Pelodiscus sinensis: one gene and its partners. The protein of the gene in region 1 purifies or fractionates together with the protein of each later gene. This does not show direct contact. Links are inferred from orthologs where the notes say so. Each region holds a gene or a part of one and is shown in the gene's direction. Other genes may lie near its edges. The genes, in order: ATR, CLSPN, TOPBP1 and RPA2.

Evidence for each region.
Region 2: the proteins of ATR (region 1) and CLSPN purify together in Homo sapiens (affinity purification with western blotting; 3 studies listed by BioGRID). This does not show direct contact. The link is inferred for Pelodiscus sinensis from reciprocal best matches to the Homo sapiens genes ATR and CLSPN.
Region 3: the proteins of ATR (region 1) and TOPBP1 purify together in Homo sapiens (affinity purification with western blotting; 8 studies listed by BioGRID). This does not show direct contact. The link is inferred for Pelodiscus sinensis from reciprocal best matches to the Homo sapiens genes ATR and TOPBP1.
Region 4: the proteins of ATR (region 1) and RPA2 purify together in Homo sapiens (affinity purification with western blotting; 3 studies listed by BioGRID, with this or other methods). This does not show direct contact. The link is inferred for Pelodiscus sinensis from reciprocal best matches to the Homo sapiens genes ATR and RPA2.

The regions. Positions count from the first base shown.
Region 1 is NC_134720.1:21,487,768-21,494,789, reverse strand, and holds the start of ATR (serine/threonine-protein kinase ATR), read left to right. Parts: upstream 1-4,020; 5' UTR 4,021-4,275; coding exon 4,276-4,334; intron 4,335-7,022. UniProt on the Homo sapiens protein: Serine/threonine protein kinase which activates checkpoint signaling upon genotoxic stresses such as ionizing radiation (IR), ultraviolet light (UV), or DNA replication stalling, thereby acting as a DNA damage sensor.
Region 2 is NC_134735.1:7,481,735-7,488,687, reverse strand, and holds the start of CLSPN (claspin), read left to right. Parts: upstream 1-3,953; 5' UTR 3,954-4,100; coding exon 4,101-4,112; intron 4,113-6,953.
Region 3 is NC_134712.1:179,226,331-179,234,319, forward strand, and holds the start of TOPBP1 (DNA topoisomerase 2-binding protein 1), read left to right. Parts: upstream 1-4,976; 5' UTR 4,977-5,107; intron 5,108-5,170; exon of another isoform or gene 5,171-5,372; intron 5,373-5,647; exon of another isoform or gene 5,648-5,670; intron 5,671-6,647; 5' UTR 6,648-6,648; coding exon 6,649-6,729; intron 6,730-7,881; coding exon 7,882-7,989. UniProt on the Homo sapiens protein: Scaffold protein that acts as a key protein-protein adapter in DNA replication and DNA repair. Composed of multiple BRCT domains, which specifically recognize and bind phosphorylated proteins, bringing proteins together into functional combinations.
Region 4 is NC_134735.1:22,902,146-22,909,426, reverse strand, and holds the start of RPA2 (replication protein A 32 kDa subunit), read left to right. Parts: upstream 1-4,275; 5' UTR 4,276-4,292; coding exon 4,293-4,431; intron 4,432-5,606; coding exon 5,607-5,710; intron 5,711-7,281. Other genes in the region: SMPDL3B (acid sphingomyelinase-like phosphodiesterase 3b), read right to left, coding at 577-646. UniProt on the Homo sapiens protein: As part of the heterotrimeric replication protein A complex (RPA/RP-A), binds and stabilizes single-stranded DNA intermediates that form during DNA replication or upon DNA stress.

The DNA.
Region 1 (7,022 bases):
TCCCCTTATTTCAAAATAACAAGTAGAGTGGCCACACTACTACACTATTTTGAAATAACGGGCTTGTTATTTTGAAATAACTCCTGCTTGTCATGAGGAACAGTACTATTTCAAAATTGTTATTTTAGGAGTTATTTCAAAACATTTCCTAGTGTAGATATGCCCTAACTGGGCCCATGAAAATTAGGCAAGCTCATTTCTCAAACAGCCACTAGCTAAGGGGCATCTGTGACATGGTGGATCCAGGGATCTCTTTGTACCAACTGGGTGAAAGTTCAGAGGTACATACCTGCATATAAGACCTCCAATGAAAGTCCGTGTCACTCTATTTATGATAATAATTGTAAGATATGTACATACACATTGTCAATTATGTTAAGAGTTCATAGTTAAAAGAAGATCAGTCCAATCTTGAGACAAACTACTCCAGACAATAGGTGGGAGACACTATCTAATCATCGTGGTTCTTATGATAAAAGTCTATTGATATACTAAATCAAATGCTAATTAGGAGCTTTCAAGGATTTCAAAGGAAATGAGAAAGGTAGTAAAGAGAGACAGAACAAGTGAATCTTGGCAAAAAAAGAAGTTACTGAGCCACTTATTGTCTGTCTAGTAGTCTTTGCTAATGGATACTGAACCAAGGATGGTTCTGGGCTTTGTGGGGCACCGTGGGAGACATGGGGAACCTCTGTGATTTCCATAGCTCACCTAGCATATTGGGATTTGAGTACTGGGCAGGTCAAGGTTTCTTGCCATTAGGGGAATATTGGGGAGTTTTAACAATAGGGCAGGGTAGGCAAAAGGAGATTTGACAGTCAGGTTATATCACTTGGAAGGAGATGTCAGGGAGAGCTTTAATAAATGGGAGAAAACTTAGCCTCCCACATTTTTTTTTTTTCATATTTTATTAGAGGACTTGGTTGTGGTGGACATTTGGGTCAGGCTATTTCATAGGAAAAGGACTAACAGAAAAAAGCCAGAGTATCACATATTGACATAATTTGCAAATGCACATAGCTGGCCCTGTATTAAAATAAAGCTATATCTCATCCCGAATTTATGACAATGAAATGTATGTTATAAATGCATTATTGTGATTTCATTGCTGGACTAAGAGGCTTCTAAGGAAAAATACTTATGTAAGCACTTCTGCAGCCTAGTGGTGCTATATGTATCCTATGGCCTGACATAGGAGGGTTATACACCCTCTTTAGGCTTGTGGTTGGAATTTAAAATGTTAATACTCTACCCGCCTTGGTCCTACAATCCCAAAATAGCGAGATTTTGTCAGAAAATTATCAGCAATTAAACTATGCATAATGTTGCTGTTTGAACTGACACTGTGTACAAACTGAACACAAAAGTGCAGACTCAGAAAAACAGTGCTGCATCAGTTCACATTTGGAAGGTTATTTTCACAATCCTAAGGGTTGACAATTTTTTTTTAAATTAAAACTTAAATCTTGCAGAATGTATATGTGAATCAGAAAAATCACCAATTTGATTCTGTTTAATCTGATTTCTGGTCTTTTCATTCCAAAGTTTGATGCCACTTGGCCATCGCCAGTCAAAGTTTAAGGTTTCTAACTGCACACTGGTAATGCCACTTAAAGGTGTTAGTATATATATATTCACATAGCAGTAAATGCTGCAATAAATAATTAAAAATGTAAAGGTTAAACAATTGTGTGCTTGAAAGTCTCCTGAAATATCCCAGTTTCTTCTTATCAAATAGATCTTGAAAGGACAGAATAAGCAGACCAATATTTAAATTTACCTGTATATTTAAATATAATGGGAAGGAAATAGTGTGAATGAAATAAGTTATGAATGAAAAGTGAACTCCCAACAATTTCTTGAAGAGCACTCATTTAAAATGCTTCAGAAACTGGGACATAAGCACATTGATTTCATTTTTTTATCTGTTTTACATACAACATTAATGCTTCAGAATTGGGAAACTGGCCACAGAAACAGAATCCAAAAAAAGGATTTTATTTCAGCCTGTGCTTACATGCATCCCTATAAACAATGCAGGCAAAAGGTTCATAGGCTTGAAAACAAACACAACAAAGACAGTAGCTCCCAATTTGGAAAGCCAAATCAAAACTACAATTTCCCTTTCCCTAGTCTCCTGGCTATTAATATCTGCATTTAGAGACACAGTAAGCTGAAGAACTCCTTTGTTTCCATATCCTGCAGACTGTCTATGTAGGGCAATATATGACTCCTCAGAACTCCATATTCTCCATCATAACCTATTTACTCTATTAAAATATACCTTTATTTTGATGTCTGCTGTGAGAAAGCAGGTTGTCAAGGTGAGAGTGGATGGGTCTCTAGCTTTTAGGTATTTTATTGTTTCATACTTTATGTGTTAAAGTCTGTTTAAAACTACTAACACGTGAATTTAAGAATAACCTGAATACTTTAAATAGATTGGAATATAATCTATTCTAGAATATCTATTCTAGAATATCTTTCCTGCCAAAGAAAGCTTCAGCCGGCTGGCTACAATGAATTGTAAAAAAGCGTAAAGTTGAACAACAGTGCCAGAGATATTCTGGGAACCACATTAAATGCATCTTTGTCAGCAAAGCCAAGGAAACCCCCATTCTCTCTCCCACTCTACCTGCCCGTCCCCTCCAAAAAAAAAAAGTAGAACGGTACAATTGTCACAAGGTATGTGCCAGACCCCTACCTGACGCTGGTCTTGTACCGGCCCCTCCTACTGCTCGGGTTGCAGCGTCTGCGCCAGCCGCGGCTACAATACTTGCTGCGAACTAGAAGACACCTGCTGCCGGGAGCAGTCGAACATCCGCGGGACAGGCAGCTGCCCAGACCAATCCCATTGCGTCCCGGGAGATGGGCTCGGTTCCGAGTGGCGAGCTCCCTCCCGAGGGATGGGCAGGACTCAGTGGCACGGCCCTCTCAAGCTATCAGTGTCCCGTGTCTTTATTAAACAGCGTCGTAGCTGAAGAAACCGGGCCATGGGGTGACACAGGGTCCACGCCCCCATTCAGGGCACTGAGAGAGGAGAAGCGGGCGGGTCCCTCGCTGCGCTGCAGTGGAGATTAGAGAGATGAGCCAACACAGTCCTGGATCAGGGCCCATACTGGTAGGAACTCATAACTCAGAGACCCTTACAGCTGGCATCTCGGTCCCGTTACCGGTGCCTAAAGCCAGCCTTGAATTTTAGGACTTTTCCTCCGTGTTAAATCTCCTGGGGGAGCTCCTCCTATTTAGCGCTGTACTGTGAGTCGGCTGTTCACTGGAAGGATCTTTGCCATGTACTGGGTCCTGCCATGGAGGTAGGGGACTGGACTCGATGACCTCTCCAGGTCCCTTCCAGTCCTAGTATTCTATGATTATGATTCTATGATCTTTTCATAATTAGCCACGATGAGATCTAATGTTAGAGCCAAGTTTACCTCACTCCTCTACCATTACTAGACTCCACAGCTACGGAGGGGAAAAGCTCATGATTGAGAAACATGCTATTGATGATTAGTTCCAAAATCTGGCTTCCGTGATTAATCTCTTGGTTTGTGATCCTTTTCCTTCCCTCTTTTAGTTTTACACACGTGATCCCCGCAAAGTTCATAGGCTGCTGTTGGCAGTGACGAATCTCTCGAGGGCTAATTAAAACCAGGAAACAAACACCCTGAGTTTTAGATCAGGTGAATAAATACGTAATACTTGTAAACAGTATCTGGGTTGAATAGCTTCAAATACCGTTTGCACGGTAGTGGAGTGAATGAAAAGGAAGACTGCCATTGCATTCAGTGTACTTGAGACACTGGCGTGTGGGCATCTCCCTAGCAATAAAATATATCGGTCAGCATGCGGATTTGTGCAATTGCGGTGAATACACTGCCTAGCGAATATGTTATTTCTGCATTACTAAAACCTGAATGTACAACTCCTGGAGTCAGCGCGTTGCTGATCCGTAGCGCATTATCAGCGGGGGGTTAATTACGTAGTCGTTAAAGAGTGTTTCCTCTGCAGCCTTCCTAGCCTGTGCAATGCTATCTTCAGCCGTCTAAAATAAATCGTATTGCTCTTGGCTGAAGTAAAGCTGCGTGCGCGGCGCGTCACAGCAACTGATCAGCCAAGCCAGCCCCTGCCGCGGAGCAAAGGAGGACGCGTTTGCGCTACGCCCTGCTATGAACTGAGGCGTTTTGAGTCCAGCCGGCCACCATCCACAGCTCGCTTTCCCGCCTCTGAGAGGAGTGCGGGGGCCTGCCGCTGAGCCGGGGCTGTTTAACCGCAATGGCCGAGCAGGGCCTGGAGCTGGCCTCTATGATCCCAGCCCTCAGGGAGCTGGGCAGGTAGGTCTGCAGCGGCCCCGCGCCGCTCAGAGCCAGGAGCCTGCGGCAGCTCCGACATGTCTGGGTTGCCCCCCAGCTGGGCTTAGAGCAGAGCGGTAGCTTGACTTCCTCGTGAGCCCTGGCAGCGGGGCGCGCAGGCTGTGGCGGTGGCTTGCACGCGGTGCTAGTAACACAACAAGAAATGGCATTTTACGTGCTGCTCGAAACAACAAAACCCCCTCGCGAGCGTTGGCCTCGTCTGCTCCGTTCGCTTCCAAATGTGCGGAACCTTTTCCAGAGTCTGAGCCGCTGACTGTCTCTGCTGCTGTTTTACTGGTCACGTTGTGGTGTTGAACTCTGCAAAGCTCTTTGCACCACTTGCTTGTTTATAGGCTTATTTGTGATGCTCGCTCACTGCAGTGTCTCAGCACGTGAGAAATGCTAATGGTTTAGTCTCCCAACAATGCTAAGTATTATTCGTACTGTTACAGAGAGGAAAATTAAGATGCAGTGGGGCTAAGTTGTTCTAGGTCACGTGACAAGACAGACAAAGCCAGCTATTTAAACCAGTTCTGCATCCCGGTGCAGTACTGGACAATCCTTGCTTCTCTCATAACTTGTATGTAGGATGCTTATGGAAAATGGTGTCTTGATTTAGTCAAACCTCAGTTTACAGGGTGGCTATGTTCTTGAAAAAACACTGCAAATAAAAACTGTATAAAATGATATCCAAAGTCCATGGGAAATAAGGGCTTAAGTTCCAGGCTCACAGGATGAACTCCCTAACTTATGCAGTGCAGTTTTTATTTTAAAATGTTAAGAAATTTAACCTTGCCATTACTGATTTGAGGATGAACTTGATATGATGAGAACATAACATAAGAATGGCCATAATAGGCAAAAGGTCCGTCAAGCTCAGTTATCCTATCATCTGACTTTAGTCAGTGCCAGGTGCCCAGGAGGAAACAAACAGAATGGATAATCACCAAGTGATCCGTCTCCACTTTTGGCAAATAAAGGCTAGGAATGCCATCCCTGCCCATCCTGGCTAATAGCTATTGATGGACCTGTCTTCCATTAATTTCTCTAGTTCTTTTTTGACCCCTGTAATAGTGTAGCTTCACAACATACTCTGGCAAAAACTTCTACATGTGGACTGTCAATTGTGTGAGGGAAAAAAAATCTTCCTTTTGTTTATTTTAAACTTGCTTCATATTAACTTCATTTGGTGACCCCTACTTTTTGTGTTATGAGAAGTAATAAATAGTGCTTCTTTATTTGCTTTATCAACACCAGTCATGATTTTATAGACCTAAATAATATCCCCCTGTTAATTGTCTCTTCAAAGCTGAAAAATCCCAGTCACATTATGGAGGCTGTTCCCTATTCCAATCACCCTGCTCTCCCTGCCTTGTGTTGCTGCTGGGGAACAGAATAGGGAGCTCACCTCATTCTGCCTGCCACCCTGATGGTGCAACTGGGGAGCACTGTCAGGGCATGGTGGTTTACTTGCTCCCTGGAATGCTGGGTGGATGGAGTCGGGTAAGAATAAGACCTGACCCCACTCTCTGGGCAGATGGAACTGGCAAGTCCTCTTGAACTGAACCTGCTCCCTAGTAGGAAGGCTGGGCAAAATGGCTAAGCCCCTGTGCCCTGATCCTCCTCCCCAGGTAGAGCACCAGGAACGTGCACTGAGTAGGGGAAACCCTCAAACTCACTGCCCACCTGGAGATACTAGGGCTGAAGCAGAGCCAGGGCTGGGGGATGGAGTTGATAACAGCAGACATGAAGAAAATTGGTGATAAGTCAAATTGGTTTTCTTCTGCATATCTTTGTAAACTTCCCTGTAAGGAGCAAGTGCACCCTCAGCTCTCTTGAATTTCAAGCTACGTTCCATATAAGGATGATAAATTTAGATCTAATTTGCATCAACTATTTGTTTAATTGATAAAGGTTCCTCTGCCTTAGAAATGTAGCAAGAGCCTTGCCAATTCTTGCTACTTTTTAAAGGCGGAAGCACCATGGCGAGCATAGCCAGCAGGGGACTCAAGCAATCCCCCACTGACCCCATGCTCCCACCTTGAGCTCCCTCCTGGGGCTCTTATACATTTCAAAAGCAGGGAGCTCAGGACCAGTGGGGGAATGCTTCAGTCCCCAGCTTGCCCCAGGCTCCCCGCAGGCCTTCTGCTGTTGAAATGTAGCAAGACTTTGCTCTTGCTACATTTCAAAGGTGAAAGCGCCGCCAGTTCCTTGCTGCACCCCTGCCTGCCCCTTCTCCCCATGGAGATGGTGCTGGGGGGAACTGGCTTCTAAGCTGGCTACCCCCCAGCACCGGATTTTGCTCCCCACCCTTGCTGCCTCTCTCTGATAGAAGCAGCAAGGAGGGGAAGCAACCAGTCAAATCACTAGTCGACTATCCGATAAGCATTTGCTTATCGGATAGTGGACTAGTTGCTTACATCCCTAATTCCATGTATGGATTCTCAGCAAAAAATAGTCTCGACTTCCTTGGCTAATTGAAAACCTTTATCCAAATTCTTCATTGTCAGTTACAGTTTTGGTGCCACTTGTACCTCCTCACTGTCCTCGTCACTAGTGATTCACTGAATTAGCTCCTGTAGCTCTTTTTTTTTGAGCTTGGTAATGTGGGACTCAAGTAACTCTATTTCTGTTGCTTGGAGTTCATCAAATCCTTCCCCTTCAACATCA
Region 2 (6,953 bases), on another chromosome or scaffold:
CTGAGAAGAAGCACTCTAACATGATCTCCTCCTCTTCCTCCATCCTTTTCCTGTAGCTCAAGGGCAGCAGAGTAGCTAACTCATCTCCATAACAGGTGCCTAGGCTGCCTGACTCTAGGCAGCAGCTTCCCAGTAATGGATCACTAAGTAGCTACAGTCAAAACTTCAGCTATCTTTCAGAGAAGTGGAGCTTAACACACACTGTCATCAGTTTAGGTCTATAGTCAATAGAGTGCTGGCTTTTGTGGATTGCATTTTAAAATGATAGTCTCTCTCCTTCCCTTCATTGTATAGAGAGCCCAGATGTCTATGTGTGCAGCTGTGTGGGTCACAGTGTTGTTCCTATGATTTTTGAGGCTCTTAAAAGATAGGCACTGTGACGCCTTGTCTACACTTACCTGTGCAGTTGATCTACTTCACATAGTGGAGCTGAAGTTGACATACTTACCACAGCGTCTTGCGTGAGGTAAGGTCAGGGGGAGCTGCTCTCCTGTTGATGCTGGCTACATTTCTCATCTTGGTGGAGTATTGGCATCAGTGGAAGCACACTTGGAGATCGATTTATTGTGTCTAAGCAGACATTGATTCCCCACGTAATGTAGACAAGATCCAAATCCTTTTGTAGATCCAGGCCAAGATGTGTCTGCAGATCAGCTGGCATTCCCAGTGCACAGCTGCACTAAGGCTTGCCAATGGCTAGGTTATCTAGTTGATTCTACATACTTTTGTAAGACAATGAATAATTTTGCATTCGCATGCTGACCTGTCAGTGGGTGTCTCTTGAATGAACTGATTTTGTGGGTTAATGTGCCCCATGTGTCTCCTAACTGGCCTATTGCAGAAGAAAGTTCTCTTGAAGAAATCAATGAATAGGCAGATCTGCTGTATCTAATCAGATTTCTTAATTTTAAAACTTTACAAATGGACCTGAGCTTTCTGAAAATTGTTCTGACCATATCATTCTAGGAATCTCCTTTTGTGTCCCTGTTACATTGTAAAATAAAAGTAACACCAAGAATGAATTTAGACCAATATTTGAAAACCTACAGTACACCGATGTACTAATGTACTAACCATGATTAATACTTTGTGAAGCTTGCTTGGTAGGCTTTGGTTGTCATCATTTTACACTCTCATGAATTCTGCAAATTTTTAATTTTGAAATTCTTAAGTGTTGTTTTTGCTAAATGTTAGCACAAAATTGTATTTTGCTGGCTGAGTAATGGCTGGCTGATCACTGTTGTGTTGAGGAATCAGAAAAAGTAAGTTATTTATTTTTGGCTTTATAAGCATGTACTTAAGTATGTAAAATTGCTTTTGAACTGCTTGTTAAATTCAACCAAGTACATGTGCCTTCATGTTATATAATTGATTCAGCTGCATTCTCAGGATTTTAAATGTCAGCTTCTGTGACTACATGCTTTTCTTTTAGTCTAAAAATGCTTTTGTAATGACTTTGCTGATGAGTGTGCACCACTGCTGTCCGCTGGATAAAATGAGAACTGATGTGTATCATAAACCCTGTATTGCTAAGAGCTAATAAACGTTTTCCTTTTGCTCGAGAGGTTGCAGCATTTCCTTGTGGAACACAGTTCTCTCTCTGCTGCCACCATTAAATTCCCTTGGCCATGGTATGCAGCATAGTGACAAATGGGAAATCTTAATTGGCCACAACAGTATTTACACTCTGTTGAAATATGTATCTCTATCTGCAATTACGTCACTTAAATAAAACCATTTCAGCTACTAACTTGGTTCTTGCCCACAAAGTGGCTTTTACATAATTACCAATGTAATTTGCAGATCTGTCAAATTCATCAGGCAAGCAGAGCCATCAGTATAGTTTGTAAACCCAGAGAAGAAATGTGATTATTAATTTTTGCTCCTAACAAAATGTAATGCACAGACCCATAACTGTTGAAAACCTCGCTCCCAGATACCAAACAGGATTGATTCAAATAACTGATACTACAGAAGCTGCAGAAAGTGAATTTAGTAACAACAGGGCTTCCATGTAATAGATTAACCAAGGTGCAATACTAGAATATATGTAATCCAAACATAACGGTATTGTCCTGGGGCATAAATACCCCAGAATTTACCTTTTTAGTGATAAGTGAAACAAAACAGAATTTACCTTTTTAGTGATAAGTGAAACAAAACAGATATTAAACTCCTAAGCCTTATTGTCAACTGTTATTAGATGTCCTTCCCCCGCTAACAAGAGAACGTATTTCCTTCACCTCTCTTGCTAATGTATTTATAGAACCTTTTCTTATTACTCTTTATGGCCCTTGTTAGATGTAACTTATTTTGTGCCTTAATTTTATCCTTATATGTTTGTATGGCTTCTTAACAAATTGTCCATGTTTCCACTTTTTGTAGAATTCCATTTTTATTTTTAGATTGCTGACGAACTCTTGGTAGAGCCATATAGATGTCTATAGAGTTGACAGAAGAATGATCACTGGTCAATTTATTGTGTCTATTAACACCCGCTGGACAATGTTCCCACTAATATTTTCTATCCATGTGCAGAATAAATTTTATATGCACCAATGCATTTGCAAATATGCAACACCAGCTAGGGATGTTAAAATTAGATTAATCAACTGTTCAATTTGTTGATAAGGGCGCTTCTGCTTTGAAATGTAGCAAGAGCGCTCCCGGCTATTGCTACATTTCAAAGGTGGAAGTGCTGCACAGCGTTTCACCTTTGAAATGTACATAGGGGATCTTGTGCATTTCAAAGATTGAAATACCACATGGAGCCTGGGGCCAGTGGGGGACTCTGAATCTCTCGCTGGCCCCAGGATCCCTGCAGCGCTTCTGCTTTGAAATATACAAGAGGGCCAGTGGGGACTCTTGCACATTTCAAAGGTGGAACGCCCCCGCTGTGCTCTTGTTCCCTCCCATGGAGCTGGGGGGAACCAGCTTTTAAACCAGCTCCCCCCAACACCCACACCTCTCCCCTGTCTTACTGCCCCTTTCTGACAGAGGCAGCAAGGTGGGGGGAAGCGACAAGTCAACTAATGTGTCAACGATCTGATAAACTTTTGCTTATCGGATAGTTGACTAATCAATTAGTCATTTACATCGACTAATCGATTAGTCATTTAGTTGGAATTGGTCCTGCCTAGAGCAGGGGACTGGACTTGATGACCTTCTGAGGTCTCTTCCAGCTCTATGGTTCTATGGTTCTATGATCCCTACCACCAGCAGACACAAAAACCTAGTGGGTGGGGGCTCTGCTCGTCAGCAGGGCAGCATTTGAATCTCTCCTGAGCCGCGGCACAGAACCCCAGCTTCCAGCGCAGGCTGCGGCCCCGTCGAGCTGACCCGTCGCGCAGTCCTGCCCTTCGAGGAGTCCAGTTCAAGAAGTCGAGGGGCGACGCACGCAGGTGGGGGCGGCTGTACGTTGGCAGCAGGCTGCGCGGGCAGAAAGAGCAGACGCCGCCCGGCACTGGACTGGAAGGGGGTCTGTCCTGCTTGGCTCTCCACAGCGGGTTTAGGACACAGGGCTCCAGGGCGGAGAGGATGGGGGGAGGGGGGGGTCCAGCACTAGCAATAACATTAGCACAGGGCCCTTAAGAGTGGAAGGCCCCTGTGAACTTGGGGGGGCCCCCAGAGGGAGGCCCAAACCAGGCAGCCCCCAGCATGCACTGCGGCCCCCATCCCATTTGGCCAGGGTCACTAGCCCCGAGTTGCGTGATGTGCGGCTAGAGCGGCTCAGGCCCAGCGGGCCCCTCTATCCCTTCGGAGCAGACGAGGCGATGAGCGAGCCGGGAGGGACTTGACAGCGGTGAGGCGCCAATGGGATGCTGGCACAGCCGGGGCCCCCCTCAGGCTCAGAGCCGGATGGCGATTGGTTCGCAGACCTGCAAGGCGGGCCAGTCATCCACTAGGGAGCCGAGTAAGGCGGAGGCTGAAGGCAGAGCACGAGCTGTGATTGGTTCGAGGTGGGGGGCGGGGCTAGCTGCTGCAGAGCGCGAAGAATCGAAGGGGTTTCAATCGCTGGCGGCGGCAGCTGAGGAGACCTGGGGACTCCTGAGGGGCAGCCAGCGTTAGGGGTGCTGCCCACCACCGCGCAGCCTGGGGTCATGGCGGCTGAGGTAAGCTCTCCCGGCCTGCATTGACGGCAGGCGCCGAGAGGGGATGGCGGGGGTGCAGTGACCCCTGTCCCCTCTCTGTTGAGTTTCCCGCAGCTGGCGGGGACTACGACTCCCAGCATGCACGGCGCGTAGGCGGCGCGTCCCAGCATGCACTGCAGTCAGTGGCGGCGAGAGGTCTCAGCCTGCCTTGTGCCCATGTAAGGACTACACGTCCCAGCGTGCCCTTCGGCACACTGAGCTCAGCGAGGCGGTGGCCAAGACGTCCGTGGTGCTCAGCCATTTCATACTATGGGGGGGGGCCCTCTGCAGGAGGCTGGGCTGGTGTCTCCCGCAGGTTTCACTGCTCTGACAAACGACCTGTGTGCAGTCTCAGACTCAAAGGCTAGTTGAGACTGGCATGATTTTCCGCAAATGCTTTTAATGGAAAAGTTTTTCCGTTAAAAGCATTTGCGGAAAAGAGCGTCTAGATTGGCAGGACGCTTTTCCGCAAAAGCACTTTTTGTGGAAAAGCGTCCGTGCCAATCTAGACGTGCTTTTGCGCAAAAAAGCCCCGATCGCCATTTTCGCCATCGGGGCTTTTTTGCGCAAAACAAATCTGAGCTGTCTACACTGGCCCTTTTGCACAAAAGGGACTTTTGCCCGAACAGGAGCAGCATAGTATTTCCCCAAGAAGCACTGATTTCTTACATGAGATGGTCAGTACTCTTGCGGAAATTCCAGCTGCCAGTGTAGACAGCTGGCAAGTTTTTCTGCTTTTGCGGAAAAACTTGCCAGTCTAGCCACAGCCAAAAATACAAACCTGGCACAGAAATGTTGCTGACTGTCCTGCTTCCACTGCATTGTCAAATGTGTTGGGCTGTAAATATTGCAGTGCGCTGTATAAATAAGTTGCATCGACCGTTAGTTTGGAGTGACTTTTCTGGTGCTTTTTATGTAGCCTGTTGTAAAACCAGGTAAATATGTAGGTAAGCTGATGGACGCCTGAAAGATATCTGCACATCCCTTCCCCCGAAGTATGTGTACCGCTGGTTGAGAGCCAGGTCAATGGTTCTCTTGTGGTGCGGTCAGTGAATCTGAGATTCCCGGCGTAACTGGGGGCACCATAAATATGCTGTCCTCGTGACCCACACTGGATAACTAAGGTCCTCCTAATGGGATGGGAATTAAGAATGTTAAGTAGTGAGTAAATGACTAATTGTGTACTCGATATAATGTGTGTTGAGTACATGATTAGTTGATAAAAGGTCACTTGGGTTATGCAGTTTACATGTAGTAGGTGCTGGGCGTGCATAGCTGCAGCGAGGGTAGGTCTGGTACCCAGCATGAGCCAGGCCTGGACTGCTGCAGCTCTGCCTTTTAAATGTAGTAAAAGCTGCCTGGGTTCCACTCTGTGCCTCTGGATTTTAAATGTAGCAAGAGCCAGGTACCTTTTACTATATTTAAAAGGCAGATCTACAGTACTGCTGCATCTTTGCCTCCCTGCCCACCCTCCCCTCACCATGGGGAAGGAGGGAGCCAGCTTTTAAGCAATGTAAAAAAAATAGTCGTGTCGACTACTTGCAATCCCCTCCTTGCTGCCTCTATACCAGAGGCAGCAGGAGGAGTGTAGAAGCAGGAGCCAGCTTTAAAAAGGATGAGGCTTTTTTTTTTTTTTAAATAACCAACAAAGCTATCCAAAGCACAGGACTTGGTGGTGTTGGGAAACTTCAATTATCTAGAGATCTGTTAGGAAAACAACATAGCAGAGCAGAGATTATCCAACAAGTATTTGGAATGTATTGGAGACATTTTTTTTATTTCAGAAGCTGGAGAAAGCTACTGGGGAAGGCTGTTCTGGTTTGATTTTAACAAATAGGGAGGAATTGGCTGAGAATTTGAGACTGGAAGACAGCTTGGGTGAAAGTGATCATGAAATGACAGAGTGCATGATTTTAAAGAATGATTGTAGGGAGAACAGGAAAAAAAGACAGTGGATTTCAAGAAGGCAGCTATAGCAAATGCAGGGAGTTGGTAGATAAGATCCCATGAGAAGCAAGTCTAAGAGGAAAAATAATTGAAGACGGTTGTTTTTCAAAGAGAGGTTAGTAAAGGCACAAGAGCAAATTATCTCACTGTATACAATAGATAGGAAGTACAGCAAGAGACCATGCTGGTTTAACCTGGAGATCTTAAATGATTTAAAAATAACAAAAGGAGTCTTACAAAAACTGGAAACTGGGTCAAGTTATAAAGGATGAATATAAACACATAACACAAATATATAAGGGCAAAATTAGAAAGGACAAGGCACAAAATGAACTCAGACTAGCTAGAGACATAAAGGATAACAAGAAAACATTCTACAAATATATTAGAAGCACAAAGAAGAGCAGGGACAGGATCAGCCCGTTACAAAAAGAGGAAAAAACTAACAGAAAATGTGGAAATAGGTAGGGATATAACCAGTTGACTGGCCTGTCTGGAGCAGCCCACAGCATGGCGGGCCTGGCTGGGATGGAGCAGTCAATCATCCAAGGGGTGGATGGGTGGGCCTCTCCAGCTTGACTGGGCCCTCCACACCATGCTGTGGGTGGGTGAACGGGCAGGCGGGGGCTGCTCCAACCCAGTCGGGCCCACTGCACTGCAGACAGGCAGGGGGCAGCTTCAGTCCAGCTGGGCCCATCATGCCATACCATGCCTTGGGTGGGCAGGAGGACCAGCTAGGGCCCATCATGTCACACTGAGGGCAGGGGAGACCATTCCAGCCTGGCTGGACCTGTCACACCGCAGGATCGAAATTAAGTGGTTAACCAGTTAAATGTTAACCTGTTAACTGATTAAATGGGATTTTATATTCCTAGA
Region 3 (7,989 bases), on another chromosome or scaffold:
TTGTATTTGCAATCTATTAAAGTTAGTTGAATTCTTTGGTTTTTGCTTCTTGCAGAAAAATGTGTGTGTTCTAAAAAAAATGTGGGAAAGGGATGGTAAAGATATTCAACACAGCATGTTGCAATACCTAGGGAGCAGACAGGATAAGGTAAGTAGATGTCTCTTTCCAAGCATTAGTAACTGGATAGAGTCTTTCAGTACTAGATCAAATCCATTCCACCATCAGATCAATAGTGATGATAAGCTTCTAGGCAGTGGATCATAAACTTTTGTCTGCTAGCTTAAAGAGCCCTCTGCTATGTGAGATCATCTGCACAGGAAGATTGTCAGACATTGTGACAAACACTTTCCCACATATCAAATATAATTACAGTTTGAGCATCCAAGACACACAATTCACTTAGACTTAATAGCTCCTCACTAATTAAAGATTCTATTCTGCTTCATGCTGAATTGTCTTTGTGGAAGTTGAGCATACTAAAAATTCTTCACAAGATCAGTCCCTCAGTCATGTAGAAGTGTGACCACTACATAAGACCTTCTAAACAGAACTAACCCTAGATGTTAATAAAAGGAATCACTCTAAACTTTTCTTTAAAATATCTTCTATTCCTTCTGGCTGAAATCAAGGGTAACTTGCTATCTTATACAGCTTTTTGTATCTTTCCATTGTAGGGAGCATGAGCTGTAGGTTCTAATTGCAATTGTTACTTTAGCCTAGGTCTTAGTCATTCCAACTTTTTAGTTTATAATGCCACCATGTGGCCACTTTGTTTTGTCTTCTTAAATCAACCCTGTTAAAAGGGTATACAATTCTTAATAGTTAAAAAATATTTAAAAACCAAGCATTTCCTCCCATAAGTCTAGCACTGCTGTCTGAGGAGCCTCACATTGCCTCCAGCCAAGCCAAAGGAGGATGGCAGTACTCAGGTGAGCACCAAAGAGACTGGAAGCTAGGAACATAGGACACCTTTTACAAAAATGAGCTTGTTGGCATTGCATGTACAGATTGCACAGCATATTATAAAAGTAGGGGCTTGCCTTGCTATTGCTGATAAAGTATTTTCTCACAGCTGAACTGTCTGGCTACTGCCATCCAACCAACTGTAACAATTCAGAGGTGCTTTAGATAGTTCATGAAGCATGAAGGAGCCCTAATAAACCATACAAATGCAACACATCATCTACTCCAGCAATTCTCAAACTATTAATTGTGACCCAAAGTGGGTTGTGACTATTTTAATGGATCTGCCAGAGGCTGTTATTAGGCTTACCTGTGGCCCATGGCTGGATTCCAAGTCTCAGTATCTGAGGCCAAAGCCCAAGGGGTTCAGCACTGTGTGCAGGGTGCCTCAAATTACAGGCCACCTGCTGGGTACTGAAGCCTTTGTGGCTATGCATTACCCTCCTTACATAACACCCATGGGGCTCTAGCATTGCCTCCCTCCTCCCCACCGTACCCACCCTATGGCAGAAGGACTCATGTACTGCCCCCCCCTTCCTGTGGTTGTGTAGCAAGGTTTATTGTCATGAGGGCATCTCAATCAGTGTTGCCTCTAATTTTTCCATCTTTAGGCAGAATTTTGTTATACTTATCAATATGGAGGTGGGCTGTGTCTAGACTGGCCACTTTTTCCGTAAAAGCAGTTACTTTTCCGGAAAAACTTACCAGCTGTCTACACTGGCCGCTTGAATTTCCGCAAAAGCACTGACAATCTCATGTAAGATTGTCAATGCTTTTGCTGGAACTACTATGCTGCTCCCATTCGGGCTAAAGTCTTTTTCTGAAAAACTTTTGCGCAAAAAGGCCAGTGTAGACAGCAGAGATTTGTTTTCCGCAAAAAAGCCCTGATTGCGAAAATGGCGATCAGGGTTTTTTTTGCAGAAAAGCGTGTCTAGATTGGCCACGGATGCTTTTCCACAAAAAAGTGCTCTGTTCCGAAAATGCTTTTAACGGAAAACTTTTCCGTTAAAAGCATTTCCGGAAAATCATGCCAGTCTAGACGTAGCCGTGATGTTTTATCCATCAACTTTATATTGGTGCACATAACAAAATTCATGTGGTGGTGGATGGGGATAAAGGTTCATTGTACGGGAGGGGACTCAGCTGTGGGACAGAGGATTGGGGTGAAAGGCTCTGGCTGGGGGTGCAGGATCTGGGGTGGGGCCAGGAATGAGCAGTATAGGGCTGGGATAAAGGGTTGGGGTGCAAAGGTGTAAGGACTCCAGACAGGCATACAGGCTAGGGGTGGATAGGGACTAAGTGGCTAGTGGAGTCACTACTCGATTACTTGCTTCTCCCTCCCCTTGCTGACTCTCTATCAGAGGCAAGGGCGGGGGGAGGGGGGGCGGAAGCAGGAGCCAGTGCTGGGGGGAATCAGCTTAAAAGCCAGTTCTCCACAGCATTGCCTCCACAATGTAAGGTGGAGGAAAGGGGAGGCAAAGGCGCAGCGGTCCAGGATCCAGTACAAGCTAGGACTGCTGAGTCCCAGCTCGCACCAGGTCCTGGACCTACTCCTGCTGCAGCTCTGCTTTTTAAATGCAATAGGAACTGCCCTTATCAACTAATCGCTCAATACAAATTGTATAGAGTACATAATTAGTCAATTATCTGCCTCTTAACATTCTTTGAATTGGGACAAGGTTCAGTGGGGCTACGTCTACATTGGCATGATCTTGTGCAAATACTCTTTAACAAAAGAGTTCTTGTGTTAAAGTATTTGCGCAAGAGAGCGTTTACTCTGGCATGTGCCTTTGCACAAGAGCATCCGTGCCAATGTAGATGCTCTCTTGCGCAAGAAAGCTCCGATGGCCTGTCTGCACTGGCCTCTTGCGCAAGAACAGTTGTGCAAGAGGGCTTATTCCTGAGCAGGAGCATCATAGTTCTTGCGCAAGAAGCACTGATTTCACACATTAGAATGTCAGTGTACTTGTGCAAGAACTCACCACTAGGGTAGAAAGGCAGCATGTTTCTGCGCAAAAGCAGCCGCTTTGGCACAAGATAGCGCCAATGTAGACACAGCCTAGGAGTTTGGGGTGAAGGACCATTCTCCAAGGCTATGTCTACACAGGCAGCTTCTTGCGCAAGAAAACATCCACACTGCCATGTGCGTGGTGTGCTTTTGCACAAGAGCTCCCATGGTAGTGTGGACGCTCTCTTGCACAAGAAAGCTCTGAGGGCCATTTTAGCCATAGGGCTTTCTTGTGCAAGAAATCCCTGCCGAGCATCCACACTGTCCTCTTGCGCAAGAGCTCCTGCGCAAGAGGGTTTACACCTGTTAAAAAAAGAGCCTAACTCTTGCGCAAGGAACCCTCTCTTACCACGCCATACTGTAAATTTCCTTGCCCAAGATCGGGTGGGCAGTGTGGACACTCTGCAAATTCTTGCGCAAGAATGGCCGTACTTGCGCGAGAAGCCGCGAGCGTAGACCTAACCTAAGGTTACTGCAAGGAGAGAGGACACTCCCAGCTCTCTCGCCTTACAGAAGCACCTGGACTGGGGAAACAGCCTGTCTCCCCAAAGTAGTAGCTCTAGGCCCATGGTCACCAACAGGTCGATTGCAATTGACCAGTCAATCGTGAGGCATCCTGTCCGCCCCACCCCCATTTCCCTCCTACCCCCGAAAAGCCCCACTACCTATCTCAAGTGAAAATGGAGGTAGTGTCGGCTTCCCGACTTTGGCTTTTTGCGGAAAAGTGTCCATGGCCAATCTAGACACGGTTTCCCACAAAAAAACCCTGATCGCCATTTTCGCGATCGGGGCTTTTTTGCGGAAAACAGTACTGTGCTGTCTACACTGGCCCTTTTGCACAAAAGTCTTTCGGAAAACTTTTGCCCGAACGGGAGCAGCATAGTATTTCCGGAAAAGCACTGATGATCTTACATGAGATCATCAGTGCTTTTCCGGAAATTCAAGCGGCCAGTGTAGACAGCTGGCAACTTTTTCCGCAAAATCATGCGATTTTGCAGAAAAACTTGCCAGTCTAGACACAGCCAAAATGTATAATTATAAATGCTTCATTTTAGATTTAAATAGCATGAATAAAAAACAGACCATTTATTTCATAACTATAAATACATTATTTTAATTTTATATATCACATAATTTAAAAATAAACTGTTTATCAGAGCGTGTAAGTAAGGGCTGAGGATAGCAAGTGATGGACAGGAGGAGAATAGAGAGGGTGGGGCTTCAAGGAAGGGGCGGGGCAGTAGATCTTCACCTGTTCTGAGATTTAAAAAGTGATCTTGGGTGTAAAAAGGTTGGAGACCACTGCTCTAGACCATGGCAAGTTTGGGGTTGGGGACAGGCTGCTGCCCCAGGATCAGGTCCAGGGTTGGGCCACCCCGGGGGGCAGAGTCAGGCCGGGCCACCCCACCTGACAGGGCCAGGCTGGTGCCAGGTGACCCTGGCTGCAGCAAGTTGAGGGTGGGCTGGGGAGGAATTGAGTTGGCCCTCCTGTGGCTGCCACAGCTTCCCACCACGTGTGGTCTCCTGAAAGAGCGGCAGGGCTCTAAACACCTGGCCGCAGCGCTTACAGGGGAACCTGGCTCTCACCGCACTTACGTTTGGAAGCCCTGGTGTAGCTGCAGCGCCCTCTGCTGGGGAGGGAAACGAGGACCGGACGCTGCATCTCCGCGGGGACTGGAACCAGCGCAGACCCCGCCCCCACATTCACCCAGGGCGGGGCTCAGGAGAGTCGCCTTGTAGCGCCCAGGCTGCCCAGTTCACCCCCCCGCCGCACAAGAGCCCGCGCGCTGTGTCGGGCCAGGGCCACTAAGGAAAGACCCGCGCGCTAGCGGCAGAGTGAGGGCGGGGTGAGCCCCCCCCCCCCCGCCACCTCCAGTCCCAAGGGGCGTGCGGCAGCCGGGGGGAGGGGGGCACCGTCAGGCGTTGACACGCGCACGCGCCCCCCCCAAGCGGCCCCTACAGCCCCTGGCGCTGCCCAGGGCGGGGCGGGCGCAGAACGCGCAGGGACGCAGCGTCGCGCGGCTGAGTCAGGCGCAAGTTGGTGACGCCGGCGGCGGAAGAAGACCAAGCAGCCAACAGCAGAACTGCCGTTGCCGGATCCACTTAGAACGCGCCGCTCGCAGCGCCTTTAAGAGGTGGGCCGGGCCTCCCGTCTTGGTCACGTGACAGAGATGAGCCCGCGCCTGCGCAGTGTGGGTCTGGTGGTCTTCCCGCCAATCTTGGGTTCCCTGTGGGAGCGAGGCCGCAGCATCCGTAACCTCGCCCCGCGCTGACCCCTCCGGGCTCCCCTAGGCTGGGGGGGAGCAAACCCGGCCGACTCGGCTCCTTCCACGGGCAGGGCTGGTGAGGGGGTCCCTGAGCAGCGGGAGGACGCGGCGCAGCCCGGCGGGAGGGGCCGAGGTGACAGATCCGCGACGGCGCGAGTGGCTGTTGCCCGCGCGGGTGGGGGGGGGCTCGTGACGGTGACGCGCGGGGAGAGGCGCGCGACTCCCCAGGTCCCTGCGGCGCCCCCGCCCCCCGGCTGTGGTGAGGGGTGGAGCCGGCGGGGCAAGCGGCGTTGGCCGCTGGGGCGGGGGGAGGCGGCGGCGGCGGGCGGGGTGTTCCTGGTTGGGCGGGGGAGCCCCGTGTCAGACCGATAAGGGAGACCCCGGGAACGTGCAGCCCGGGCTTGCCGCTGAGCAGAGCTGCCTACGGAGCCGTGAGTCTCAGCCTGTTCCCCCGCGCTCTTGTGCAAGGCGCGGTGCTTAGCAGCGCCCCCGCTAATCTTTTCCACCCGAGTGCGGATTTTTTTCCCCCATCCATGTGTGGAATAAATGTTTTATGTGCACCGAGACACGTGCCAATGTGTCCACTAGTAGAAACAAAAACCTGGCTGTTGGCGCCCTGCTGCAGGCTGGTATTTGAAGCTCTCCTGAGCAGCCACCTAAGCACCAAATTTTCAAGAAACACTTGTGTCCTTCCTTATAGGTCCAGCAAATTCTCCAGGTAGTAAAGGGTTGGAGGAGTAAGTCAAGAGGTTACCTAATCTTCACCCCTGCTCTATTTCTGCATCAGAGAGAGTGATCTCTGAGATGTGTTGAGCATCTACATACTGCAGCAGCGGTTCTCAAACTGTGGGTTGGGACTTTGTTTTAATGGGGTTGCTAGGGCTGGCATTAGACTTGCTGGGGACAGAGGCCAACACCCAACCCCTGTCTCCCATGTGCAGTGTCATGACCCAGGGTTTCAGCCTTAGATAGTGGAGTTCAGATGACAGGCCTCCTACCTATGTTTCAGCATTGTCCCCCCTCGCCCCCACACTCTCCCCCGTGGCAGTGGGGCTCAGACTTTGCCTTTGCTCCTCTCCTTCCCAGCCTAGGGCAGCAGGGTTTGGAGCAGGCTCGGTCTTCTCGGGTCAGGTAGTAATGTTTGTAAAAAGGGGTCATGGTGCAATGAAGTGTGATAACCTATGTACAACAGTTATAAGGGGCAATATATGAGCAAATTAGTAGCACTGACATTTACAGGGAATAGATTTTTAATGCTTGGATACATTTGTTCAAGAAATTCAGAAAAAAAACAATTTATGTGGAAAAATAAGTTAGGAACATCTCGTTAATACAAGTCTTGAATACATAACAGTTATTATGAAAAATAATACTTCAAAGCTTATTTTGCTTCATCCATTTGTTAAAGGATGAAAAGTGACAAGGAGCCATTTTTTGTTAAATTTATAAAGTCTTCTGGCAACTCTGAATATTTTTTTAAAGCTCTTGAGGTAAGAACTTTTGGTACCACTGTTAGCTGTTTTCCTGAATTTACTTTTCTTTCTAATTACTTTCATATTTAGTTTTACTATATTTATCTGTAAATAACTGCATTGTTTCTCTCAGATGCAATATTAGATATTAATTTAGATAATACAGTTGCCTTGTTTAACTTTCTACAGCAAGGATCAATATTTTCTGTTATGTACTTCAGTTTTTTTTTTTTTTTACTAATTACAGTGGATTAGTTCCACTTAATACAGTGAAAAAGTCATATGGTGAAATCATTGTTTTGAAACCAGTTCTCTAAGGAGCTGTGTGCCTCTGGAAAGGTGCTGAAGCACTCAGTACTTTGGTCCTAGTACTGGAGACAGTCACTGCCTGGCATGGCCCTTACTACTGTGAGATGTATTTTGAAATAATTTGAAGATCGATTCAAATTAAAATCCGGTGTAATCTGTTAACTGGTTAAATGTTACATTTCCCTGATTAACAGGGATCTTGTGAGCTGGCATGCCCCTCTTCTTCGCCCACAGCCTGGCGGGCCTGGCCAGGCTAGAGTGCCCCCAGCTCATGGCATGGCACAGTGGAACCAGCAGGGCTGGAGCAGGCCTCTGCCTATATTGGGTGGGGGCTACTTCCACTTAGCCAGGCTGCTGCTGATGTTAACTGGTGACATCCGTAACTTAATTAAGAACCTTGACTTCCTCCAGGAACAAATTGTCCTGCAAGATTTGAATTAACTTATTGAATGCTGTGCTTTGATAGCTAGTATTTGAATGATTGGGATCAGTGATTGTAGAAGGCATTCAGCAGGTCCCAGAACAGAATGAGGTGCAATCTTGAGGGTTCAGGTCCCTCTTCCGTGCTAGTACTGAAGAGGGTGCTAAGTCATTTCTCCCCTGAGAAGTCAGTGGGAATTAGAAGGTTCTCATCATCTTGCAAGATAATGTCCAATACATGAAAATGTGTACCCTGTACATTGCAGTGGATTGAAATAATATTATATTTTTGTTTAGTTGCACTGCAAGTAGATTCTTCTGTAGTAATTTTGCTGTAAGTAATTTCAACTGTATATGTTTTGCAATTGCCATAGGTAGATTTATCTTAACTGTTTTATCTTTGAATTTAAGTTAAGTATATTGTTCCATGTTTTCTTGCAGTCCATAAAAGAATTTCAATCCGAAGAATATCTTCAGATTGTTGAAGAAGCACCAGCACTCAATATAAAAGAAAATGACAAATCCCTTTACATCTGTGACCCTTTTAGT
Region 4 (7,281 bases), on another chromosome or scaffold:
CCTACATTTATTATTATTTTTTTTAATCCCATTTTCCTGGGGTTTTAATACAATTCTCATCTATTGCCCAGTGAAAAAGAAACATGCAGACACACTCACCTTCTGACATAACCAGCTGCCCGAGCCACCAACCCCCACTTGCTGCACACAGGAGCCATTGCCCACTCATCTGTCACGGGGCTGTCTGGGGGTGCTAAACTAACATGTAAAGAAGGTGCCTTTTCTAAGTTTGCCATGATTTTGCAGTAACAGAGGCAGGGCTGAGAGCTCACTCATCCTGTGCCTCACCCAATGCTTTCTGCCTGCGCCTCAAGGCAGGGTTGGCCTCAACACAATCCCATCAGTGGGCTGACAAAAATCAACTTCATGAATGCCAGGAGAGCCAGTCATGTGCTGCCCCAGAAGCCCTGGGTCTGTTCACATCTTGCAGCTCGTTTAAAGAGACGTGAGCAAGCCAAGTTTAGTTTGGAAGTCAAGTAGAAACCAAGCTATGGCAAATCTTCCCTTGGAAGGAGGAACGCTTCCTCCAGACCTAGCAAAATCAGGCAGGCACAGAAAACTCATGAGGGCTGTTACCTTGGGTGGCGGCGGCAGCAGCAGCAATTCTGCAGTGCATTAGCAGCAGCAGGAACCTCAAGGCATCCATCTGAACTGGAATGGGGAGCTCTGACAGCTGCTGACTAATTGCCACTTTGCTGTTGAGAAGAGCCAATCCCAGGCAGCTGTCACCTCACCTGACTTCCTGGCAATGTGTGAAATGGGAGCACTTCTAGCTTGCCTTAAGAAAGATTCTCAGCCCATGGAGGGTCCCTTGCAGCCCAATCTGGGCACCGCTGCTGCTGGAGCCGGTGGCATTCTCCAGGGAGGCTGGTTTTGTTGGTTAAGCCAGCAAAAATAAGGTACAGGGCAGGAGTGAATTCCCTACTGGGGTCTGAATATTTAGATTACCTCAAATATCTACTGGCAGGTTTTAGGTGGCCTGTTGCTCACCACCCAGCCAGACTCAGGGTGCCTAGTGCCTCACTTCCCTCCCTCACCAGCACTTTGGTTGCTGTTCTCAGAATCTGTTCTACTTTCTTGGTACCTTTCCGGGGGCAAGTGCCTGGAACAGGATGCAGAGACCAGTCCCTTACACAAAGGACATCTCACCTCTTGCTCCATCACAGGACTCTTGTGCAGGTGCCAACTGAAATCACAGGGGCCTTCTCACTACCACATCCCATTACTAAGTCCTGCCTAACTCACTGCATTCCCAGCCCAGGTCTCACATCTAGCCCTACTTCCCAGCTTCTTCCCAGCTGCCTGAAATACTTCCCCTACCCCCGTACTGATGGGCTGCATTATCCCAAGTGGCGAGAAACGAATCAGCCAGCAACCCTGCCATGCCCACCACAGTGAGTAGTGGAGGGTCACCCATCAGCTGCCTCAGCAGCATCCCCAAAAGCCCCTGCGAATGGCGTAGAGAATGTCAGCGACCGGCGGCACCGCCGTGCTACACCCCTCCGAACGTGCCCTTACGTGTCCAAGCAGCTCCTGCCTCCACCCGCCCGCGGCGGCCGCGGGAAGGGGGGGGGCGGTAGGGCCGCGGGAAGTGGGGGGGGGGCGGTAGGGCCGCGGGAAGTGGGGGGGCGGTAGGGCCGCGGGAAGTGGGGGGGGGGCGGGGCGGTAGGGCCGCGGGAAGTGGGGGGGGGCGGTAAGGCCGCGGGAAGGGGGGGGGGGCGGTAAGGCCGCGGGAAGTGGGGGGGGGCGGTAGGGCCGCGGGAAGTGGGGGGGGGCGGTAGGGCCGCGGGAAGTGGGGGGGGGCGGTAGGGCCGCGGGAAGTGGGGGGGGCGGGGCGGTAAGGCCGCGGGAAGTGGGGGGGGCGCGGGGCGGTAAGGCCGCGGGAAGTGGGGGGGGGGCGGGGCGGTAAGGCCGCGGGAAGTGGGGGGGGGCGGGGCGGTAAGGCCGCGGGAAGTGGGGGGGGGCGGTAAGGCCGCGGGAAGTGGGGGGGGGCGGTAAGGCCGCGGGAAGTGGGGGGGGGCGGTAAGGCCGCGGGAAGGGGGGGGGCGGTAGGGCCGCGGGAAGGGGGGGGCGGTAGGGCCGCGGGAAGGGGGGGGGGCGGTAGGGCCGCGGGAAGGGGGGGGGCGGTAGGGCCGCGGGAAGGGGGGGGGCGGTAAGGCCGCGGGAAGTGGGGGGGGGCGGTAAGGCCGCGGGAAGTGGGGGGGGGCGGTAAGGCCGCGGGAAGTGGGGGGGGGCGGTAAGGCCGCGGGAAGTGGGGGGGGGCGGTAAGGCCGCGGGAAGTGGGGGGGGGCGGTAAGGCCGCGGGAAGGGGGGGGGCGGTAGGGCCGCGGGAAGGGGGGGGGCGGTAGGGCCGCGGGAAGGGGGGGGGGCGGTAGGGCCGCGGGAAGGGGGGGGGGCGGTAGGGCCGCGGGAAGGGGGGGGGCGGTAGGGCCGCGGGAAGGGGGGGGGCGGTAGGGCCGCGGGAAGGGGGGGGGGCGGTAGGGCCGCGGGAAGGGGGGGGGGCGGTAGGGCCGCGGGAAGGGGGGGGGGCGGTAGGGCCGCGGGAAGGGGGGGGGGCGGTAAGGCCGCGGGAAGGGGGGGGGGCGGTAAGGCCGCGGGAAGGGGGGGGGGCGGTAAGGCCGCGGGAAGGGGGGGGGCGGTAAGGCCGCGGGAAGGGGGGGGGGCGGTAAGGCCGCGGGAAGGGGGGGGGCGGTAAGGCCGCGGGAAGGGGGGGGGGGCGGTAAGGCCGCGGGAAGGGGGGGGGGCGGTAAGGCCGCGGGAAGGGGGGGGGGCGGTAAGGCCGCGGGAAGGGGGGGGGCGGTAAGGCCGCGGGAAGGGGGGGGGCGGTAAGGCTGCGGGAAGGGGGGGGCGGTAAGGCCGCGGGAAGGGGGGGGGCGGTAAGGCCGCGGGAAGGGGGGGGGCGGTAAGGCCGCGGGAAGGGGGGGGGCGGTAAGGCCGCGGGAAGGGGGGGGCGGTAGGGCCGCGGGAAGGGGGGGGCGGTAGGGCCGCGGGAAGGGGGGGGGCGGTAGGGCCGCGGGAAGGGGGGGGGGCGGTAGGGCCGCGGGAAGGGGGGGGCCGTAGGGCCGGGGGCGGTAAGGCCGCGGGAAGGGGGGGGGGCGGTAGGGCCGCGGGAAGGGGGGGGGGCGGTAGGGCCGGGGGCGGTAAGGCCGCGGGAAGGGGGGGGGGCGGTAGGGCCGCGGGAAGGGGGGGGGCGGTAAGGCCGCGGGAAGGGGGGGGGGCGGTAAGGCCGCGGGAAGGGGGGGGGGCGGTAAGGCCGCGGGAAGGGGGGGGGGGTAAGGCCGCGGGAAGGGGGGGGGGCGGTAAGGCCGCGGGAAGGGGGGGGGGCGGTAAGGCCGCGGGAAGGGGGGGGGGCGGTAAGGCCGCGGGAAGGGGGGAGGCGGTAAGGCCGCGGGAAGGGGGGGGGGCGGTAAGGCCGCGGGAAGGGGGGGGGGCGGTAAGGCCGCGGGAAGGGGGGGGGGGCGGTAAGGCCGCGGGAAGGGGGGGGGGCGGTAAGGCCGCGGGAAGGGGGGGGGGGCGGTAAGGCCGCGGGAAGGGGGGGGGCGGTAAGGCCGCGGGAAGGGGGGGGGGCGGTAAGGCCGCGGGAAGGGGGGGGGCGGTAGGGCCGCGGGAAGGGGGGGGCGGTAGGGCCGCGGGAAGGGGGGGGCGGTAGGGCCGCGGGAAGGGGGGGGCGGTAGGGCCGCGGGAAGGGGGGGGCGGTAGGGCCGCGGGAAGGGGGGGGGCGGTAGGGCCGCGGGAAGGGGGGGGGCGGTAGGGCCGGGGGCGGTAAGGCCGCGGGAAGGGGGGGGGGCGGTAAGGCCGCGGGAAGTGGGGGGGGGCGGTAAGGCCGCGGGAAGTGGGGGGGGGCGGTAAGGCCGCGTCTGCAGCCACGTTCCTCGCAAACCGCGACTCCCCTTTTGGCGCGCGCCGCTTCCCCTGCTCCGGGAGCGAGACCCGGGCGTGGCCTGGAGCGCCCCTCGGTCTCCCGCACCCCGGAGACTGGCCGCGCCCGGGACAAACGGCTCTTGGGCCTGGGCGGCCGGAGCCTCCCACGTTCACTCGCGGCGGCGCGTCGGGGGGCCGGGCCCCGATCCCTGGGGGCTGGCGCCGGGGGACCCAGGCGAGCGGGACGCGGGGCCGAGCCCGGCTCAGTAGCTGCCCCAGCCCCGCGCACGAGGCGTTAACCCAGGAGCCTAACGACGGCACGTGCCGCAGCGCTGGGAGGAGCGTGTCTGACTGACCTCAGGGGGCGGCGCCAATAGCAAAGATGGCGTCGGCGGCGCTTCCGTCCGCGGGTCGGAGGCCACCGGAAGGAGATGGTGGCGCCGCCCCTCGCCATGCGGGAGCCGATTGGCTGGAGCGCCGCGGGCTCGCCGATTGGGCGGTTATTTGAGGCGCGACGGAGCCGAGCGTCTGTTGGAGCGTCCGCAGCCGCCGCCATGTGGAGCGGTCACGGTAGGGGGGCAGGGTGTTGGGGGAGGGGCTGGGGGGGGGCTGGCAGGGTGTTGGGGGAGGGGCTGGGGCGATGGGGGGGCTGGCAGGGTGTTGGGGGAGGGGCTGGGGGGGCTGGCAGGGTGTTGGGGGAGGGGCTGGGGGGGCTGGCAGGGTGTTGGGGGGGGCTGGGGCGATGGGGGGGATGGCAGGGTGTTGGGGGAGGGGCTGGGGGGGATGGCAGGGTGTTGGGGGAGGGGCTGGGGCGATGGGGGGGATGGCAGGGTGTTGGGGGAGGGGCTGGGGGGATGGCAGGGTGTTGGGGGAGGGGCTGGGGGGATGGCAGGGTGTTGGGGGAGGGGCTGGGGGGAGGTGGCAGGGTGTTGGGGGAGGGGCTGGGGGGGCTGGCAGGGTGTTGGGGGAGGGGCTGGGGGGGCTGGCAGGGTGTTGGGGGAGGGGCTGGGGCGATGGGGGGGATGGCAGGGTGTTGGGGGAGGGGCTGGGGGGGATGGCAGGGTGTTGGGGGAGGGGCTGGGGCGATGGGGGGGATGGCAGGGTGTTGGGGGAGGGGCTGGGGCGATGGCAGGGTGTTGGGGGAGGGGCTGGGGGGATGGCAGGGTGTTGGGGGAGGGGCTGGGGGGATGGCAGGGTGTTGGGGGAGGGGCTGGGGGGGTGGCAGGGTGTTGGGGGAGGGGCTGGGGCGATGGGGGGGGTGGCAGGGTGTTGGGGGAGGGGCTGGGGCGATGAGGCATGTGTCTCACCTTGTGAGACGCTATAGGTTGCTGAGGCCAGGTCGCTGACCCTATGGCATTGCCCCTTTCTGTGACCTGGCGTCCCCATGAGCTTAGCGTTCTGGTGCCTTCTTTGAACTTTGGTGGGGTTTGGACTTGAGTGCAGGTTAAAAATGCAGGCTGCTGGGGAGTAAGACTTACAGGTGGGGAGAATGTAAGTTTGGCTGTTTGAATTAAGTGAATATGTGAGAGTCTCAGCTTTCCCTCTACTGGATACGGCTGCTGGAAAACACCTGAGTGACCCAAAGAGCTCAGTAATATAATGTACATTTTGGGTGGTATTTACTATACTTTATTTTGTCTAATTGTAAGCTAATTGCACGACTATTTGGTATAACTTGTGATTTTTGAACACTTGGGATTGGCAACAATGTATTAGTAACTGTGATTCTTTCCCCCCTACCCTAGGTGGCTTTGACGGTGGCTATGGTGGGTCTTCAATTAGTGGTGGATACACACAGTCCCCAGGGGGGTTTGGCTCTCCAGCAGCCACCCAGGGAGAAAAGAAACAGGTATGTAGTGGAAGGGTTTTAAAGAATGGGAGAACTGGGTGCCTGGTCACACTAGGGAGGTTCCCATGAGAGTTTTGATCTTTATGTTGCTGTCATGAGAAGGATTATCTATACCTCTCCCAGCAGAGAACAAATTGTACGGTATTAGGGATAAGAGAGAAGCTTCAATATAACATTGAATTGGGAAGCAGTGATGGGAGGAGTACAGTGGCCTAGGAGCTAGGTTTTGGCCTTGGTCCTTCCCTCAATGTGTTTTATGACCTTTGGCAAGTAACTTATACTGTATTTTGACTTCCCTTCTCAGAATAGATATTTATTCACAGAATGTTGTGTCTTAATTAAATGTTGCAGTTGTAATTCATTTTATGGCTACTTAACCTGGTTACACCAAACATGGCTGAGCTCTGCATTTTTTTCCTCCGCATCAGAAGAATGTGTAAAATATTCCTTTGTCTGTCATGTTGCCTACTGTGTTTGTATCAGGGAAAATTGGGCAAACTATCCTAAATGTTCTCAGCAGGGGAATAATGGAGCATGAAGGACATGCACCTGGACGGATAGTAAGAGTGCATAGGGTAAGCTGTAAGGAAGGTGGAAGACAGGCCATCCCTGTGACACAAACTTATTCAGGCGTTTCCTTCTACATAGTGAAAAACAAAGCCAACATACCTTGTGGAGGAAAACGGCTGTGTGCCAGCCTAGGCCACTGGAAAGCATGACTGACTGTTGTGATTCTAAAGAGTACCAGTTGTGAGTGAACTCAAACCATGGTTAGAGCTGTCTCTGGGACTAACTGGTCACAGATTCAGTTACAATAATGCTGACACAGCCTCAGTGTTTGTAAATCTCTTTGAACATCTCAATCACAACATGAATCAGTAATGTGATATTGTTTCAAAAAAAAAAAAAAAAGCAAATACAATTTTAGGCTGCATTAACAGATGCATAGGAGGCAAGTCACAGGTAGTGATAGTACTGCTCTGTTTGATGCTGATTGAGCCTCAGCTGGAGTACTGTGCCCAGTTTTGGTCACCAATGTATAGAAAGGCTGCAGAAAAAAGATGATCAAAGGGATGGAATGCAAGGCTGTAGGAACTGGGTATGTTTAGTTTGGGGGGAAAAAAGAGACTGAGGGGGAACATGATACCAGACTTCAAATATTTGAAAGACTGCCATAAAAAGATGGAAAACAGTTTTCTCTTGCCACAAAAGTCAGGACAAAGGGTAGTGGGCCCAAGCTGCAGTGGAGCAGATTCAGATTAAATCACAGGAAAAACTTGGGATAGGGGTTTTCCTCTGTCGCCCCTGCTTCCTCCCAGCCCAGGAGCCGTAGCCTGGGCAGCAATCACCCTCTAGCACAGTGGTTCTCAAACTTTTTGGTCCGTGGACCACCTGGCTCAAGGCAAACCTTTCCACCGACCACCAGTTGTTAATGGAAACTCTCTGTTAACTACATCCGAGCCATTTTGCTAGTGCTGCAGCCAGGGAAAATGGTTTAATTTAAATTATTAAACAAATTAAGCATTTTAACTTTCTCATGTTAGTTTATCAAACTTTATTTTAAATAAAGT